2 linked regions of the Notamacropus eugenii genome follow. The protein of the gene in region 2 binds, or shares a complex with, the protein of the main gene of each other region. Links are inferred from orthologs where the notes say so. Each region holds a gene or a part of one and is shown on either strand. Other genes may lie near its edges.

Region 1 (8,012 bases), on a different chromosome or scaffold from region 2:
AGGTAAACAGAAGATATCAACAGAGTAATTTCAAGAGGGGGTTGGATCAGAAAAGACCTCAGATAGGAGATAGCACTTGAGCTGTGTTCTGAATAAAGCTGAGGTCTTTTTAAGGCAGAGATAAGGAGGAAATACTCATAGGGGACCAACCATACAAAGGCAAGGTGTTGAAATATAGTTTCTCACATACAAAGAACAATTTGTAAGTTAGTTTGATGGGAACGAAGAGTACGTGCAGAGAAGCAACAGGAAATAAGCCTGGAAAAGGAGAGAGGAGCTATACTGTAGAAGGCTTTAAATGCTTGGCTGGGAAGTTTATGTTTTAATGATTAAAGATTTTTATTGAGGATTTTTTAGTATGGGACTGATAAGATTCAATCTGTGTTTGAGATATATCATCTTGGTAGCTATGTGGAGGATGAAGAGACAGAATAGAGGAAACCAAGTGGCAAGCTATTGTAATAATCTAGATGAAAGGTGATGGGGATCTGAACTATGGTGGTCACTGTTGTTTGTCCCAAGAGTTGCGCAGTCATCGGCCTCACTTTTTCTTCCTGAGTCACTGAGGTCCAGTAGCAGAGAAGCGGATTGATATGAGAGGTTGTGGTAGTGGCAACTCACTGGAGATGGGCATTGAGGAAGAAGAAAGAATCAAAGATGACTCTGGAAGGTTTCAAACCTGGATAACTGGGAATTTAATGATTCTTCATCAGAAATAGTAAAATTTAAAGGAGGGGCAGTTAATTAGAAAATTTATAATAAATTCTCTTCTGGCCATTCTGAGTCTGAGATGCCCACAGAGATGCCCAACAGACACTTGGTAATGTAGGGTTTAGTTTAAGAGAAAGGTTCGGGCTGGATAAATAGACCTATATGAAAAGATGCAGAATGAAGACAGCCAAAGCAAAAGAAGAACTTAAACAACGACTGCAACAACGTTATGGGAATGGGAACAAATAGGAAACAAAACTCAAGACAAGACACAGTGGATAATGTTGTAACTCTCTTATTAAATTTAAATCTATTCAATAAACTCCAGTGACTCCTTATTACCTTCAGGATCAAATATAAAATCCTCTGTTTGGCTTTTAAAACCCTCCATAACCTAACCCCTCCCTACCTTTTCAGTCTTACATTTTACTCCCCTCCACAGACCATGCAATTCAGTGACACTGCCCTCCTTGGCATTCCTCAACAAGACACTCCATCTCCGACTCTATATTTTCTTTTTCCTTCAAATTTAAAGTTGCATTGATGTGTTCTGTCTTCAAATTACCTACATTTACAGATTATTCCCACTATGTGAGAAATCTCTTGGAAAAAGTGGAATAAAACTAAAAATGTGTTAAGTGGCCTTATTTGAAAGTTCAGGCACTATTTCACATCTGTAGCATTCTGCTGACTTTCTATTTAAAAAAAAAAATCCATTTGTTCTCCCTCTCCCATATCCATCCCATGGACAGAGAGCATATGCATAGCTATTTTTACATCATGCCTGGAATTCTCTCCATTTACATCTCTGGCTTCCGGCTTCCTTCAAGTCCCAGCTAAAGTCCCATCTTCTATGAGAAACGTTTCCAATCCCCTTTAATGCCAGTGCTTTCCTCTGATCTCCAGTTTATCCAGTACACAGCTTGTTCATACAATCATTTACATGTTATCTCCCTCAAGAGAACCTGAGCTTGGGGGCAGAGGACTTTTCCTCTTCTTTGTATCCCCAGCCCTTAGCAAGGTGCCTGGCACGTAATAAGTTCTTCAAAAATACTTGCTAACTGACAAAAACATTGATTCTTCCTTTCTTTTAATAAACAGCAAACTATTAGTGTGAAGTTTTATGGACGATTACAGTAAAATGATTGAGAGGATTGCATTTGGAGCCAGGGGACCTCAGTTTGGATACTAGGTCTGCTCCCTACTAGCTGTACGTGATCTTGGGCGAGGCAGTTCCCATCTCTTGTCCTCAGTCTCTGTGCCTCTGAGTTCTTTCCAACTCTAAATCTATGAGTCCACAGTCAAACGTCACATTTTATACTGTTTTCAGTATACAAAGGATCAAACGTTACAAAGGAATAAACTGTGAGTGTGGATTTGTATGATATAATGAAACAAAATTTATCAACAAAAAAATTAAAAATGTTAAAAAAATGGACAAACAGATAGCTTTGGTGCTACATTAGTATCCAGGCTGCACTAAAAGCCTTAGAGGAAGGCCTTCTGCAGGGGACTTACGGGAGGGCAAGGGCAAAAATATCACCAGAGAATAATAGCTAGCATTTGTACAGCACTTTAAGGATTGCAGAATCCTCTCCGTTTACATACCCCCAGGTATACGGGGACTCCGGCTACGTCACGCTGCCTTTCCTGGGGGTGTTCTCTACATTTTTAAGATGAAGAAACTGAGGCAATGGGGAAGTCAAATGACTTGCCTGGGGCCCCCAGGTAGCAAGCGTCTGGCAGGATGTTAGCACCTGAGCTCGTGTGGCCCTGGTTCTGTTCTGGTGCTCCAGCGCTTCGCCAGGCGGGTCTATATATGTAGATATATGTATGTGTGCGTGTGTATATGTATGTGTGTATACGTATATGTATACATATATACACACACATACACATACACACATATGTACATATACATATATGCACACACACACACAGCGGGCCGTTCCGGGTCCCCCGCCCCCGCCCCCGCGGGCCACCTGCTCACGTGACGCGCCCGGCCCGGCCCCGAGGCTGCCCCCCGGCTCGGGCCCTCCCGCGCCCGCTCCTCACCGAGGTGGCCTGAGTCCTGCTTCCGCCGCCGCTGCAGCCGCTCCCGCAGCGAGTCCAGCTGCTTCTTGTGGGCCTGGATGGAGCTCCACGTGTCGGACATCTTCGGGACCGGGGCGGCGAAGCTGCGGCCGCCCCTGCGCCTCCTCCCCGGCCAGGGCCGCCCGCAGCGGGAGGGCGGCGGGGAAACTTCACATGGACACCGGGGCCAAACAGGAAGAGCCCGGAGGCCGCGGGCGGCGCCATTTCCGCTTCCGCCCTCACTCGAAGCCCGAGCGGGAACGCTAGGAATCATGGGTCTAAGGCTCCATTTTCCTTTTTGGCGGCGTAAAATGCCGCGGCACCGGCGGGTACTGGCAACGTGAAGCCGAAGCGACCATGCTGGGAGTTGGCAGGAGGGCGGCCATGTTGATACAGCCGCATGGGCGGCCATGTTGGACGTTAGCGGAAGAGGGGCCATGTTAGTCACCTCGTTAGGAAGGCGGTCCGGAGGGTGAAAGGGTCCGAGGCCGGAGCGGGGACCCTGAGTTAGCACTAACGTCACCATAGCCTGGGAGGTGCGCACAGCACCGTCCGTTTGGGAGCTCTGATCCTCCCCGTGAATCCGTGCCATGTTTAAGTGGGTCAGCGGGTCAGCGGGTCAGCAGGTCAGGGGGCATGTGCCAGGGACTGCAGACAAAGCCCGAAGCAGCCCCCGCCCCCTGGGGAGACAGTGCGCGTGTATATTCTGTGTAGTGTGTGTCTTATTTGTGTGTTTATCCGCACGTTTATACACGTGTGTTTTATTTATGTGTGTTTATCCGCACGTTTATACACGTGTGTTTTATTTACATGTGTTTATCTGCACGTTTATACACGTGTGTTTTATTTACGTGTGTTTATCTGCACGTTTATACACGTGTGTTTTATTTACATGTGTTTATCTGCACGTTTATACACGTGTGTTTTATTTGTGTGTTTATCCGCACGTTTATACACGTGTGTTTTATTTACATGTGTTTATCTGCACGTTTATACACGTGTGTTTTATTTGTGTGTTTATCTGCACGTTTATACACGTGTGTTTTATTTACGTGTGTTTATCCGCACATTTATACACGTGTGTTTTATTTACGTGTGTTTATCCGCACGTTTATACATGTGTGTTTTATTTACATGTGTTTATCCGCACGTTTATACACGTGTGTTTTATTTACGTGTGTTTATCCGCACGTTTATACACGCGTGTTTTATTTGTGTGTTTATCTGCACGTTTATACACGTGTGTTTTATTTACGTGTGTTTATCCGCACATTTATACACGTGTGTTTTATTTACGTGTGTTTATCTGCACGTTTATACACGTGTGTTTTATTTACATGTGTTTATCCGCACGTTTATACACGTGTGTTTTATTTACATGTGTTTATCCGCACGTTTATACACGTGTGTTTTATTTACATGTGTTTATCCGCACGTTTATACACGTGTGTTTTATTTACGTGTGTTTATCCGCACGTTTATACACGTGTGTTTTATTTGTGTGTTTATCTGCACGTTTATACACGTGTGTTTTATTTACGTGTGTTTATCCGCACATTTATACACGTGTGTTTTATTTACGTGTGTTTATCTGCACGTTTATACACGTGTGTTTTATTTACATGTGTTTATCCGCACGTTTATACACGTGTGTTTTATTTACATGTGTTTATCCGCACGTTTATACACGTGTGTTTTATTTACATGTGTTTATCCGCACGTTTATACACGTGTGTTTTATTTACATGTGTTTATCCGCACGTTTATACACGTGTGTTTTATTTACATGTGTTTATCTGCACGTTTATACACGTGTGTTTTATTTACGTGTGTTTATCTGCACGTTTATACACGTGTGTTTTATTTACATGTGTTTATCTGCACGTTTATACACGTGTGTTTTATTTGTGTGTTTATCCGCACGTTTATACACGTGTGTTTTATTTACATGTGTTTATCTGCACGTTTATACACGTGTGTTTTATTTGTGTGTTTATCCGCACGTTTATACACGTGTGTTTTATTTACGTGTGTTTATCCGCACATTTATACACGTGTGTTTTATTTACGTGTGTTTATCTGCACGTTTATACACGTGTGTTTTATTTACATGTGTTTATCCGCACGTTTATACACGTGTGTTTTATTTACGTGTGTTTATCCGCACGTTTATACACGTGTGTTTTATTTGTGTGTTTATCTGCACGTTTATACACGTGTGTTTTATTTACGTGTGTTTATCCGCACATTTATACACGTGTGTTTTATTTACGTGTGTTTATCCGCACGTTTATACACGTGTGTTTTATTTACATGTGTTTATCCGCACGTTTATACACGTGTGTTTTATTTACATGTGTTTATCCGCACGTTTACACATGTGTGTTTTATTTACGTGTGTTTATCCGCACGTTTACACACGCGTGTTTTATTTACATGTTTATCCGCACGTTTACACACGTGTGTTTTATTTACGTGTGTTTATCCGCACGTTTATACACGTGTGTTTTATTTACATGTGTTTATCCGCACGTTTATACACGTGTGTTTTATTTGTGTGTTTATCCACACGTTTATACACGTGTGTTTTATTTACGTGTGTTTATCTGCACGTTTATACACGTGTGTTTTATTTACGTGTGTTTATCCACACGTTTATACACGTGTGTTTTATTTACATGTGTTTATCCGCACGTTTATACACGTGTGTTTTATTTGTGTGTTTATCCGCACGTTTATACACGTGTGTTTTATTTACATGTGTTTATCCACACGTTTATACACGTGTGTTTTATTTGTGTGTTTATCCGCACGTTTATACACGTGTGTTTTATTTACATGTGTTTATCCGCACGTTTATACACGTGTGTTTTATTTACATGTGTTTATCCGCACGTTTATACACGTGTGTTTTATTTACATGTGTTTATCTGCACGTTTATACACGTGTGTTTTATTTACGTGTGTTTATCTGCACGTTTATACACGTGTGTTTTATTTACGTGTGTTTATCCGCACGTTTATACACGTGTGTTTTATTTACGTGTGTTTATCCGCACGTTTATACACGTGTGTTTTATTTACGTGTGTTTATCTGCACGTTTATACACGTGTGTTTTATTTACGTGTGTTTATCTGCACGTTTATACATGTGTGTTTTATTTACATGTGTTTATCCGCACGTTTATACACGTGTGTTTTATTTGTGTGTTTATCCGCACGTTTATACACGTGTGTTTTATTTACGTGTCTTTATCCGCACGTTTATACACGTGTGTTTTATTTATGTGTTTATCCGCACGTTTATACACGTGTGTTTTATTTATGTGTGTTTATCCACACGTTTATACACGTGTGTTTTATTTATGTGTTTATCCACACATTTATACACGTGTGTTTTATTTATGTACACGTATAAATAAAGTACACACTCGTATGTATGTGGATATATGTTTGTCGTATATACACATACCTGTACGTGTATACATTTTTTTTCTAGAGGGAATTCAGCAGAAAAGTAGGGGAAAGAGGGCCAGGAAAGGGAAAGGGAAAGGCTTGAATCCGTGGGATTTGAGCTGAGTCTTGAATGAAGGCAGGAGGGAGGTGTGAAGGTGGGAGGAGAGAATTCCAAGCTCCTGAGACATGGTCTGAGATGGAGGCCAGCGTCGCTGCACCGTGGAGAGTCTGGAGGGAAGTAAAGTGTGAAGACTAGGAAGGTACATGGTGAGGAGCATTGAATATCAAACATTTTATGTTTGATCCAGGAGGTAATAGGGAGCCACAGGAGTTATCAGGAGGGAGAGGTAACACGGTCAGACCTGTGCTTTAATAAAATGTAAAAGACATTTTGTAAAGGGAGAAATGGCAGATTTGGACAACAGAGTGGGGGAATGAGTGAAGAGTTGCGGGTAACACTATTGAGAAAATGGTGGTTCCTTAACAGTAATAGGCAAGTTGGGAAGAGGGGAGAGTTTTGAGGGGAAACTAATGAGTTCTCTTTTAGACACTGAAACGTCCCATGAGACATCTAATCCAAGATGTCCAAAGGAAATGGAGGTCAGGACAGAGGTGCCGGATAATTCAATATAAAAATCATCTGCGTAAAGATAATAACTGAATGCATGAGACCTGATGAGATCACCATTCAAAATAGTATAGACTATAGGGAGAGGAGAGGAGGAACCAGGACAAAACCTTGGGGTCACTCAGGGTTAGTGGGAGTGAACTTCTCAATGAAAATTGGGAAGAACATCCTAAGAGGTAGAAGGGAGAAGACAGTGCAAAGGAGAAGAGGGTGCTTGACAGCGTCAAAGGTCCAGAAAAGTCAAAAAGGATAGGAACTGAAAAAAAAGGACATGAGGAATCACTGGGAACTTTGGAGATATCACTTTAACAGAATAAGCAGCGATGCACCACAATTCAAAAAAAGCTTAATAATTATTGCCTTTAAATCAAGTAGGTCCTAACAAACCTGGCATTATGGTTGCCACTTTGGTGAGTTTTAGTTTCCACATTAGGCTGGGGTGTTTATTTTAACATTTATTCATTCATTTAATAAAACACTAAATGCTTTCTATGTCTGAGACCCCATGCTATCAGTGAGCAATACATGATATTAGGTAGAATATAAGTTCCTTGAGGGCTAAGAATGTTATTTGGTTGTCCTGTTGCCCATAGTACCTAGTACAGGATCTTTGGCATTTAGTAAACCATCATAAATATTTCAAGAATTGATTTAAATTGAATATGCAATAAGTACCATACTGGTGGAATGAAGTAACTACTTTAGGAAAGAGTGTTCATGTGATCAGAAAAAAACATGGGGAAGGTTTAGTGTTTCAGCATTTTAGCTGAGTCTTGAAAAAGAGCTAGCATTTCCTTCCAGGAGGCTAATATGTAAGACGAGTGGATACTAGGAATGGGAAAAAGCATGGGCAAAGGCACAGAAATGGAAAAGAGATTTACCTATGGGAACTGAGTACTCTTGATTGACTAAAGCATGGCATTCACACGGGGGAGGAAAGGGAGAAAAAGCTTTAAAAGTACATTGGGGTTTGAAAAAGAAAGGTGTTTTGGAGGACCTTACACGAGAGGCTGAGATGTCTGGATTTTATTCAGTAGGCTATGTGAAATAATTGAATATTTTTGAGTGGGAGAATGATAAGAAGAAAATCTGGCCATGATGCCCAGGATGGATCAGCAGAGAAAAACTTGGAGACGTGCAGACT
Region 2 (7,707 bases):
CCAAACCAAGAGCAGAATTGGCTTTAAAAATAACTGTTTTCATGACACAAAGAAAACACAAGACTGGGAAAAGCCAGGTTTTGGCTAGGCAGTGTCTCTTACTATAACTATCACCATATGCTCCTCTTCTAACTTCCCCAATGTCCTCAGAGCAGACTGGAGGTACTGCTGGGAGAATTCACAGGGAGGGAAGGCATAGAGCATGCCAGTGTTGTCTCTGCCCTTGGTCCCTCCCACTGGCAAGCTGATCACCCCAGCAGCCTGCTTCTGTTTCAAGTATGAGACCAGATTCCTGAGAAGCCTCCGCTGCAAACCCGGCTCCACAGTGTGGGTCCCCTCTGCTCCAGGCCCTCCTGGAGAAGCCTGAGTGGCCAGAAGCACCACATAACCATTGGGGCTTCCCTGCTTGATTCTCCGAGTGACCTCATCCAGTTTGGGCTGGTCAAGTCGAAGTCTTTGGGCAATCTTGAGCTGTGTCAGCTTGCTCCCTGAAGCATGGTCTTTGAGGAGGCCGCTGATTACTCCCAGGTCCCCCTCTAGAATGTGCATACAAGTGGGGAAGCAACTGTTTTTCAACACCAAAAGCCCGTTCCAGCCCAGCTGCAGGGTCTGAGCGTACTCAGACAGAGTCTTGAGCTTTTTGGTCTCGGGTTTTGGCTCTTCCATGGGCTTCGCTTCTACCTCGGTTCGATGATTGCGTTCGCTGTCTCTCTTTCTCACCTGGTGAGCGTCGGGGCCTCTCTCTTCGGCCCCGTGCCGGTTGTTGGGCAGGGAGTTGCTGGGCTCCTTCTCTGCCCCCGACTCACCCGTGTGATTTTCTCTCCGGAGCCTCTCGGGGCTTCGGTCTGAGGGCAGCCCGCTGACTTTGGTTCTGCCTCTCTCCTCATAAGGTGAGTGGGCAGTCCGTCCGTGGTCACTGGACAAGCTCCTCCTCTTTCGCCTTTCTTCCCAGGGCTTCGACAGGCCCCGGTCCCCATCGCTGCCCCATCTCTCCCCACTGCGGCTGCGCACAGAACGGCTGTAGCTTTCCAGGCTATTTCTGCGGTCGGTGCTTTTGGAGGGACTGGCCCAGTCGCCCTCCACAAAAGTCCTGTCCCGGTCTGAGTAGAGAAGGTGAGGGGGAGTCCTATCTCGGACCCTCAGGTCGGCCTCCAAATTTCGGTGCCTGGTGTAGCCCTCAGGGAGCAATTCATAGTGCACCGGGAGCGGCGTCGCCTGGCACTGTTGGGGGTATCTGGTCTCCTCAGCTTTGGCAAAATCCACCCTGAGCCTCCTCTCCGGCCCCCCCAAGGGAAAGCCCCTCATTTGGACGCAGGCAGCCTGGGCCGCATCCAGGCTCTCATACTGGATGTAGGCAAAGCTGTCTCCTTTGACGTGGTCAATAGTCCGAATGCTTCCGAAGCGGTCAAACTCCCGGGCCAGGGCGGCCAGAGAGGTGTTGGGCCCCAGGCCTCCGACCCACAGGCGGGTGGTGGGGTTGGCCTTGCCGTAGCCGATCTTGATAGGGTTGCGGCCCACCACCCGCCCCGACATGGCCACCTTGGCCCGGTGGGCCATGTCCAGGTTCTGGAACTTGAGGAAGGCGTAGGCCCCGCCCTGGCCGCGGGCCGGCCTCTTGATCACCACCTCCTCGATGATGCCGTACTTCTCGAAGGCCCGGCGCAGCTCCACCTCGGACACGCCGTGGTCCAGGTTGCCGATGAACAGGTTGCGGGTGGCCCGCTGGTCGTCCTCGGGCATCAGGTCCTCCTCACACACGGCCGGGTAGCCGTAGGGCCGGCCCCGGTCGTCGTACAGCCCGTAGTAGTCCAGGGCCCGGTCCCGGGACAGGCCCACGGCGGCGGCGGCCGCGGCGGCGTCCAGGGCGAAGGCGGCGGCGGCTGCCGCGTGCCGGGCCCGGGGCTCCCGCAGCGGGGGCGCGCCCACGGGGGACAGCGAGCGCTGCTTGTACTGGTAGCCCCCGTGCAGGGGCAGGTAGCCCAGCGGGTCGGCGGGCGCGGGCGGCCCGGGCGGCGGCGTGCCGGCGGCCCCCGCGCTGCTGCTGCTGCGCCGGCTGCTCCCGCCGCCGCCGCCTCGCAGGTACACGGGCTCCACCTTGAGCGGCCGGTCGTAGAGCAGCAGCTGGCGGGCGCGGGCGTGGTGCCGGGCATCGCGGGCGTCCTGCGGGTGCCGGAAGTTCACGTAGGCCACGCGGCCCAGCTCGGGCGTGTGCGACAGGCGCAGGCTGATCTCGCCGAAGCGCTTGAACTGGTGGAACAGGCGGTCCTCCAGGTGCTCGGCCGGCAGCGCGGGGCTCAGGCTGCTGATGAGCAGCGTCTTGTACTCGGGCGGCGGCGGCGGCGGTGGCGGGGCGGGCGCGGGCGGCGGCGGGGCGGGCGCCGGCGCGGGGGGCTCGGGCAGCGGCGGCAGCAGCAGCAGCGGGGACGCCCCCGGGGACGAGGCGGACGCCGAGCCGGGCTCGGCCTTGGCGCGGCCGCCGCCGCCCCCCGAGCGGCCTCCGCCGCCCGCGCGGTGGTTGGAGTCTCCGGAGCCTCGGCCCTCGCGGTGGCCGCCGCCGGAGCCGGAGCCGCCGCCGCGGGGCTTGTCGCGGGCGCGGGCCGGGGCCTGGTGCTTGGCGGGCCCCGAGGCGGAGGCGGAGCCGGAGCTGGAGCTCTTGTGCGCGGCCCGCCGACCCCCGCCGCCGCTGCCGCAGTCGGGCTCCCCGCGCTCCCGCTCGCGCTCGCCGCGCTCCCGCTCCCCGCGCTCGCCCCGCTCCCGCTCCCGCTCCCCGCGCTCCCGATCCCGATCCCGTTCCCGCTCCCGGGGCCGCTTCGCCGACGATGACGACGACGACGCCCCGCGGGCCCCCGGGCTCGAGTCGCGCTCGCTCTGCCGCTTCATGGCGCCGAGGCCGGCCGGGCCTGGCCGGGCCCCCTCCCTCACAGCGCGACGGGGCAGCGGCGCGGGGGCAGCGGCGGCGGGGCCGGGGCCGGAGCAGGAGCAGGAGGAGGAGGCAGCGCCCCCCGGGCCGCCATCTTGGACAAAAGGACTGAGCGCGGCGGCCGCGAAAAGGCGGGGGAGGAAGGGGAGGGGACGGGACGGGGACAGCGCGGCTACGTCATCAAGGCGCGCGGCTCGGCGGCCGGCGCGGGGGGCAGCCTGGCGCACGTCCGACGGGACGGCCCCCCGCCCTTACGTCACTTCCCCCGCCCTCCCGGGCTCGGACGCCGTCGCATTGGACTGGAGCGCGGGCTTTGGCGCCACCTGCCGGCCGAGGGTGAACCCAGCGGCCCGGCGCGGCTTGGGCGCCGGCGGTCACCTCGGCCGCGAGTGAGCCCCGCCGGTGCTGAGGGCGGCCAGGCGCGTCACCAGCGTGGTCGGACGGGTCGTGGTCGGGCCGTGTGGCGGCCCGTGGGGTTCTCTTGGCAGAGGTACCAGCTCATTGTACAGATGAGGAAGCGGAGGCAGACAGGGTGAGGGGACGTGCCGGGGTCCTACAGTCGGAGTCTTCCCGACCCCGTCTCCGCTGCCTCGGTCTTACACCGTGATCTTTGGGGGTCCGGACGGCCGGAGGGGGGAGGGGAGGGGCCCCCCGATCCGCGGCCCGGCCGGGGCACCGGGGGTGCCCGGAGGCGGAGGGGCTGGCCACGCCGCGGGGTCGGACCGCGGCTGTCCCTTGGGGGAGGGGGCGAGGTGCGGGGGAGGCCCCGGGCCCGTGGTCCCGCCCGCACGCTGCGGCCCCGCTCTCACGGCCGGAGCCGGGCCGGGGCGGTCCGACGGGCGCGGGCGCTGAAGCCTGTCCCGCACGCAGCAGGCGCGTTTCCACCCACTTCCTTCAACTTTTTTTTGTTGCCTGTAGGCATCCTAGGGGCAGCCGGGTGGTGCGGTGGGCAGAGCACCACAGCAGGGGGCAGGAGGACCCGAGGCCAGAGCTCACCTCAGACACGACGCTCACTAGCTGTGAGCCCATGGGCAAGTCACTTACCCCAACTGCCTCCGCCTGGGTCACCTCCAGCCATCCTGATGAGTATCTGGTCCCTGGACCCAGGTGGCTCTGGGGGAGAAGTGAGGTTGGTGACCCGCACAGCCCTCCCTCACTCAACACAAGGTGAAGTGCCAGTCCCGTCATCCCTTCTCTGCTGGCACCGTAGAGGTCCTGAGATCATGAATGGGTTCGTGCTTTGAGGAACGTTGGAGTGCCAGGCCAGAGGGAGAGTGCTCAGTCTAAGCTCATCCCTCACATCTCTCTAGTCTATAAAAAGCCTGAACCTAAGAGGTCACGGAAGTCATCCTTACATGTTATAAACGTTAATGGAATCCACCGAGGTCACACAGCTTGGCACAACTTGCGCTCTGAGCCAGTACTGCCAACGTGGCGTATGGTGATTAATTCCTAAATTTATTTTGAGTGGGAGGGTGGCCTCGGAGGGGCAGAGGCAAATGTGTTGAAATATAAATGTTGGGTTACGCTGAGGATGGCTCAAGGACAGGATAGGAGCTGACGGAGGATTTCTAACAGCTACGGGTGCTTGCAGGCATGAGCTCCACCCCTGCCCATCCGCTGGGCTACCTGAGGAGACAGTTTCCTGAGAACTGATGGAGACTCTAGTGGTAAGGTTTTTCACCCTTTTAGATGAGTTATTAAGAGCGATAACAAGAGGCAGCATGAAGACCCAGAACAGCCTCCCACCCCTCTGGCCCTCCCCCCCCCACGATGAGGGGCTTGACTTCGATCTCCAGAACATCTTACAGCACCAGAATTCTGCCAGTTCACTTTCTCCTCTGCATGCTTAGGTCAGAGGGCAAACTTCAGGTTCAGACCCTGCCTTAGAATCGTACAAATGCGTGGCTCTTCAACATGAATACTTTAATCTTATGCCAGGATCCTTAGGTAACAATATTTGTTGTTCAGTTGCTCCCATCATGTCCAGCTCTTCATGACACTTTGGCCATTTCCTTCAGTTTTACAGATGAGGAAACGGAGGTAAACAGACTCAAGTGACTTACCCAACGTTACACAGCTAGTAGGTGTCTCAGTCTGAATTCAGTCTTCCTGACTCCAGGCCAGGGGCTCTATCCACTGCACCACAAGGCTACAAACCTGTCATTTGTCTCATTTGTACATAGGTTATACCAAGATTCCTTTGAAAGGGACACTTTTTGTGCACTTTATTAAAAAGTTGTCTATATGCTATAGTAGGAAAGGTATATTGCAAAAGGTAAGTTGCAGAGATGGTCTTTGTAACTTTGTCATCACTTCCCGTCCCTTGCAGCACCTGCATATACAGTAGGAAGTGTTACCAAAGCTAGTAATAGCCCAGAGATGTCTTTTAATGGCTCGATTCAAGCCAGTTAGAAGCTAGTACTCAAGGCGGAACAACCAATTTGTCTCCAAAGCCTTTCTCAACCTAAGCTCCCAATCACTGGGAGAACATGGAATGGAAAGCAAAGATGATTCACTTTGTCACAAGGGTCACAAACTTCCCCTAGGAAACGAGTCACTCTTTGAAGCAGTAGAAATAGGAACAAATATCAGTAACGTAAAGAAGAAAAAACACTTCCCTTCCAGGCTTTTTGTTAACAGCATCAGTAATGGAGTTTTCTCTCTTAGTGGCTGCACTGTCTGGGGTTGACCCTGGGAGCCCCTCATTTTATCCAGAGGGACATTCACTGGAAGGTGTGGAAATCTTGGCATCGTCTCCTTCAGGAGAGAAAATGAAGCGGACAGCATGGAAGACAGCATGGACTAACCCACTTACACACTGGCCATGAACCAGTTTGGCTGACACGACCAAGGAAGAATTCATGGAAAAGATTCAGGGCTACAAATCATCTAGAAAGAAAACCCCAACTGTAATATCCATATCCAACTTTGTGGAGGTTTTCAAAGCAGCAAACTGGAGAGGACATGACTACATCCCACCATCTTCTTACCTGTGAGTGAGCAAGAGGGGCTGGGGGCCTGCAGTTGGAAGCAGGGGAACATGGGTTTATAATGGGGGTTTCTCAGTATGTCAAAGAGAAGGGGGGGCATTGATTCTGAAGACTCCTGCTTGTACATGGCCAAGAAAAGAATCTAAGTACAAGGCAGAATTATCTGTTGCCAACAATGCTGGCTTAGCTACTTAAATTTCCTTCAAGTGCTGAGAGAACCCTCCAAGATGTTGTGTCTACTGTGGGACCCATCGTTGTGGCCATCAATGCTGTACCTGATGGCTTCTGACTTCTACAGCTCAGGGCCTTACTAAATGACTCCTACTGCTATGGGTCACCAGTCCTGATGATGGGATATAGCTTTGAAGATGAGGTCGAGTCCAACAAACCTTGGGTTTTCAAGAATTGGGGGGATACATGGCTGGACACCCCAACTGTGTATTCTGCTTAGGCCATCAATCCTCTAATGTGAGCTGTCACTGTCAGAAGAGGAGTCAGTGACACATGTTTTAGAACCTGGCTTATGCAAGTCCTAAAACTCCTATGGGACTCTTTAAATCTCACTTTTTTTGTGCTATATTATTATCAGAGAAGAAGGGGATCATTTCCAATACTGCCTCATATTGGACTCACAAGGCAAAAAAAAATTCCCAGGTCAGATTTTTAGTCTCTAATGCTCCCATGGAGTATGTGGCTTTACATACAGAGTGAAAGGGCAAAATGATTCTGGACATCAAGAAACTTGCAGGCAGGGAAAGAATTCACCCTGCAGATCAGAGTATGCTCGTTGTCTGCTTCCTGGCTCTCAGCAAATTTGATCATGGCAAATTAGTGGTTAAGTTCAATGGCCAAGCACAGATCTCTGGGGTCACTCCACTAAAGATTTCCTCCCAAGTTTACATAAAAATATTAGTAATTCCAACTGCAGTATCATCTAGCACATATTTCTGTTTTGTCCATAAGAATCACTTGAAAGATTTTTGGCCAAAGTTTTGTTGAAATCTTTTTGTTATATATTACCCTATATTTACCCCAATTAACCAGTCTGGTAAACTCCCATCAAAAAAAGAAAGGGGGCTAGTTTGGCATGACCTGTTATTGAGGAAACCATGTTGTTTCTTTGTGATCCCTACTTCCATTTCTGGATGTTCACCAAGCATTTAAAATTATTCTAATGGCAATATTTAGCAATTTGTTCTAGAATTTTTCCAGGGACTAAAGTCAAACTTACTGGCCTGTGGTCTGCAGACTACATTCTCTTTCATTTTTTGAAAACTAGGACACTGCCTTTCCCCAATACTGTTGTACTTGTCTAGCTTCCCCAGAATAGAAAGCAACTAAAATTCCCTGATGAAAAGATTAAAAAAAAACCCCAACAGAATGGCTTAAAAGAGGAACACCAAAATAATTAAAAAACAACATCAAAACAAGAAATCAGGATGGAAATCTCAGGCTCTCCAGGGTGACGGATTATCACTTAGAACTCTAAAAAAAAGACAAAAGACCAAGATGGGGGCAGATGAGACCTTCTCTCCAAAACAGTTGAGAAAGGATGGGATTGGAAAGTCAGATTTGGAAGAACATGAGATCTTTACAACAGAGTCCAAGATGAAGGAAAAGACATGAAGGTATCGATGGAATCCTAATAAAGCTGCCCCCAGCCCCAATACTCCAACTTCCTCATAGGCCCCACTGCAAGCCCACCATCCCTACTGAGTCACTCATTCTTGATCCCATCCAATATTCTAACTTCTTCATACATGCCTCACTGCTCACAAAAATAAGCATGTCCAT

Evidence for each region. Proteins that work in one complex are often made in the same cells at the same time.
Region 1: RBM15B (region 2) and METTL3 share a complex: the UniProt entries of both Homo sapiens proteins name them as parts of the WMM complex. The link is inferred for Notamacropus eugenii from reciprocal best matches to the Homo sapiens genes RBM15B and METTL3.

What each region holds. Positions count from the first base shown.
Region 1 is NC_092878.1:12,405,395-12,413,406, reverse strand, and holds the start of METTL3 (N(6)-adenosine-methyltransferase catalytic subunit METTL3), read right to left. Parts: upstream 3,021-8,012; 5' UTR 2,867-3,020; coding exon 2,767-2,866; intron 1-2,766. UniProt on the Homo sapiens protein: The METTL3-METTL14 heterodimer forms a N6-methyltransferase complex that methylates adenosine residues at the N(6) position of some RNAs and regulates various processes such as the circadian clock, differentiation of embryonic and hematopoietic stem cells, cortical neurogenesis, response to DNA damage, differentiation of T-cells and primary miRNA processing.
Region 2 is NC_092872.1:3,418,318-3,426,024, forward strand, and holds the start of RBM15B (putative RNA-binding protein 15B), read right to left. Parts: upstream 2,925-7,707; 5' UTR 2,890-2,924; coding exon of another isoform or gene 2,881-2,889; coding exon 85-2,880; 3' UTR 1-84. Other genes in the region: uncharacterized protein, read left to right, coding at 2,879-2,889, 2,925-3,452, 3,839-4,091. UniProt on the Homo sapiens protein: RNA-binding protein that acts as a key regulator of N6-methyladenosine (m6A) methylation of RNAs, thereby regulating different processes, such as alternative splicing of mRNAs and X chromosome inactivation mediated by Xist RNA.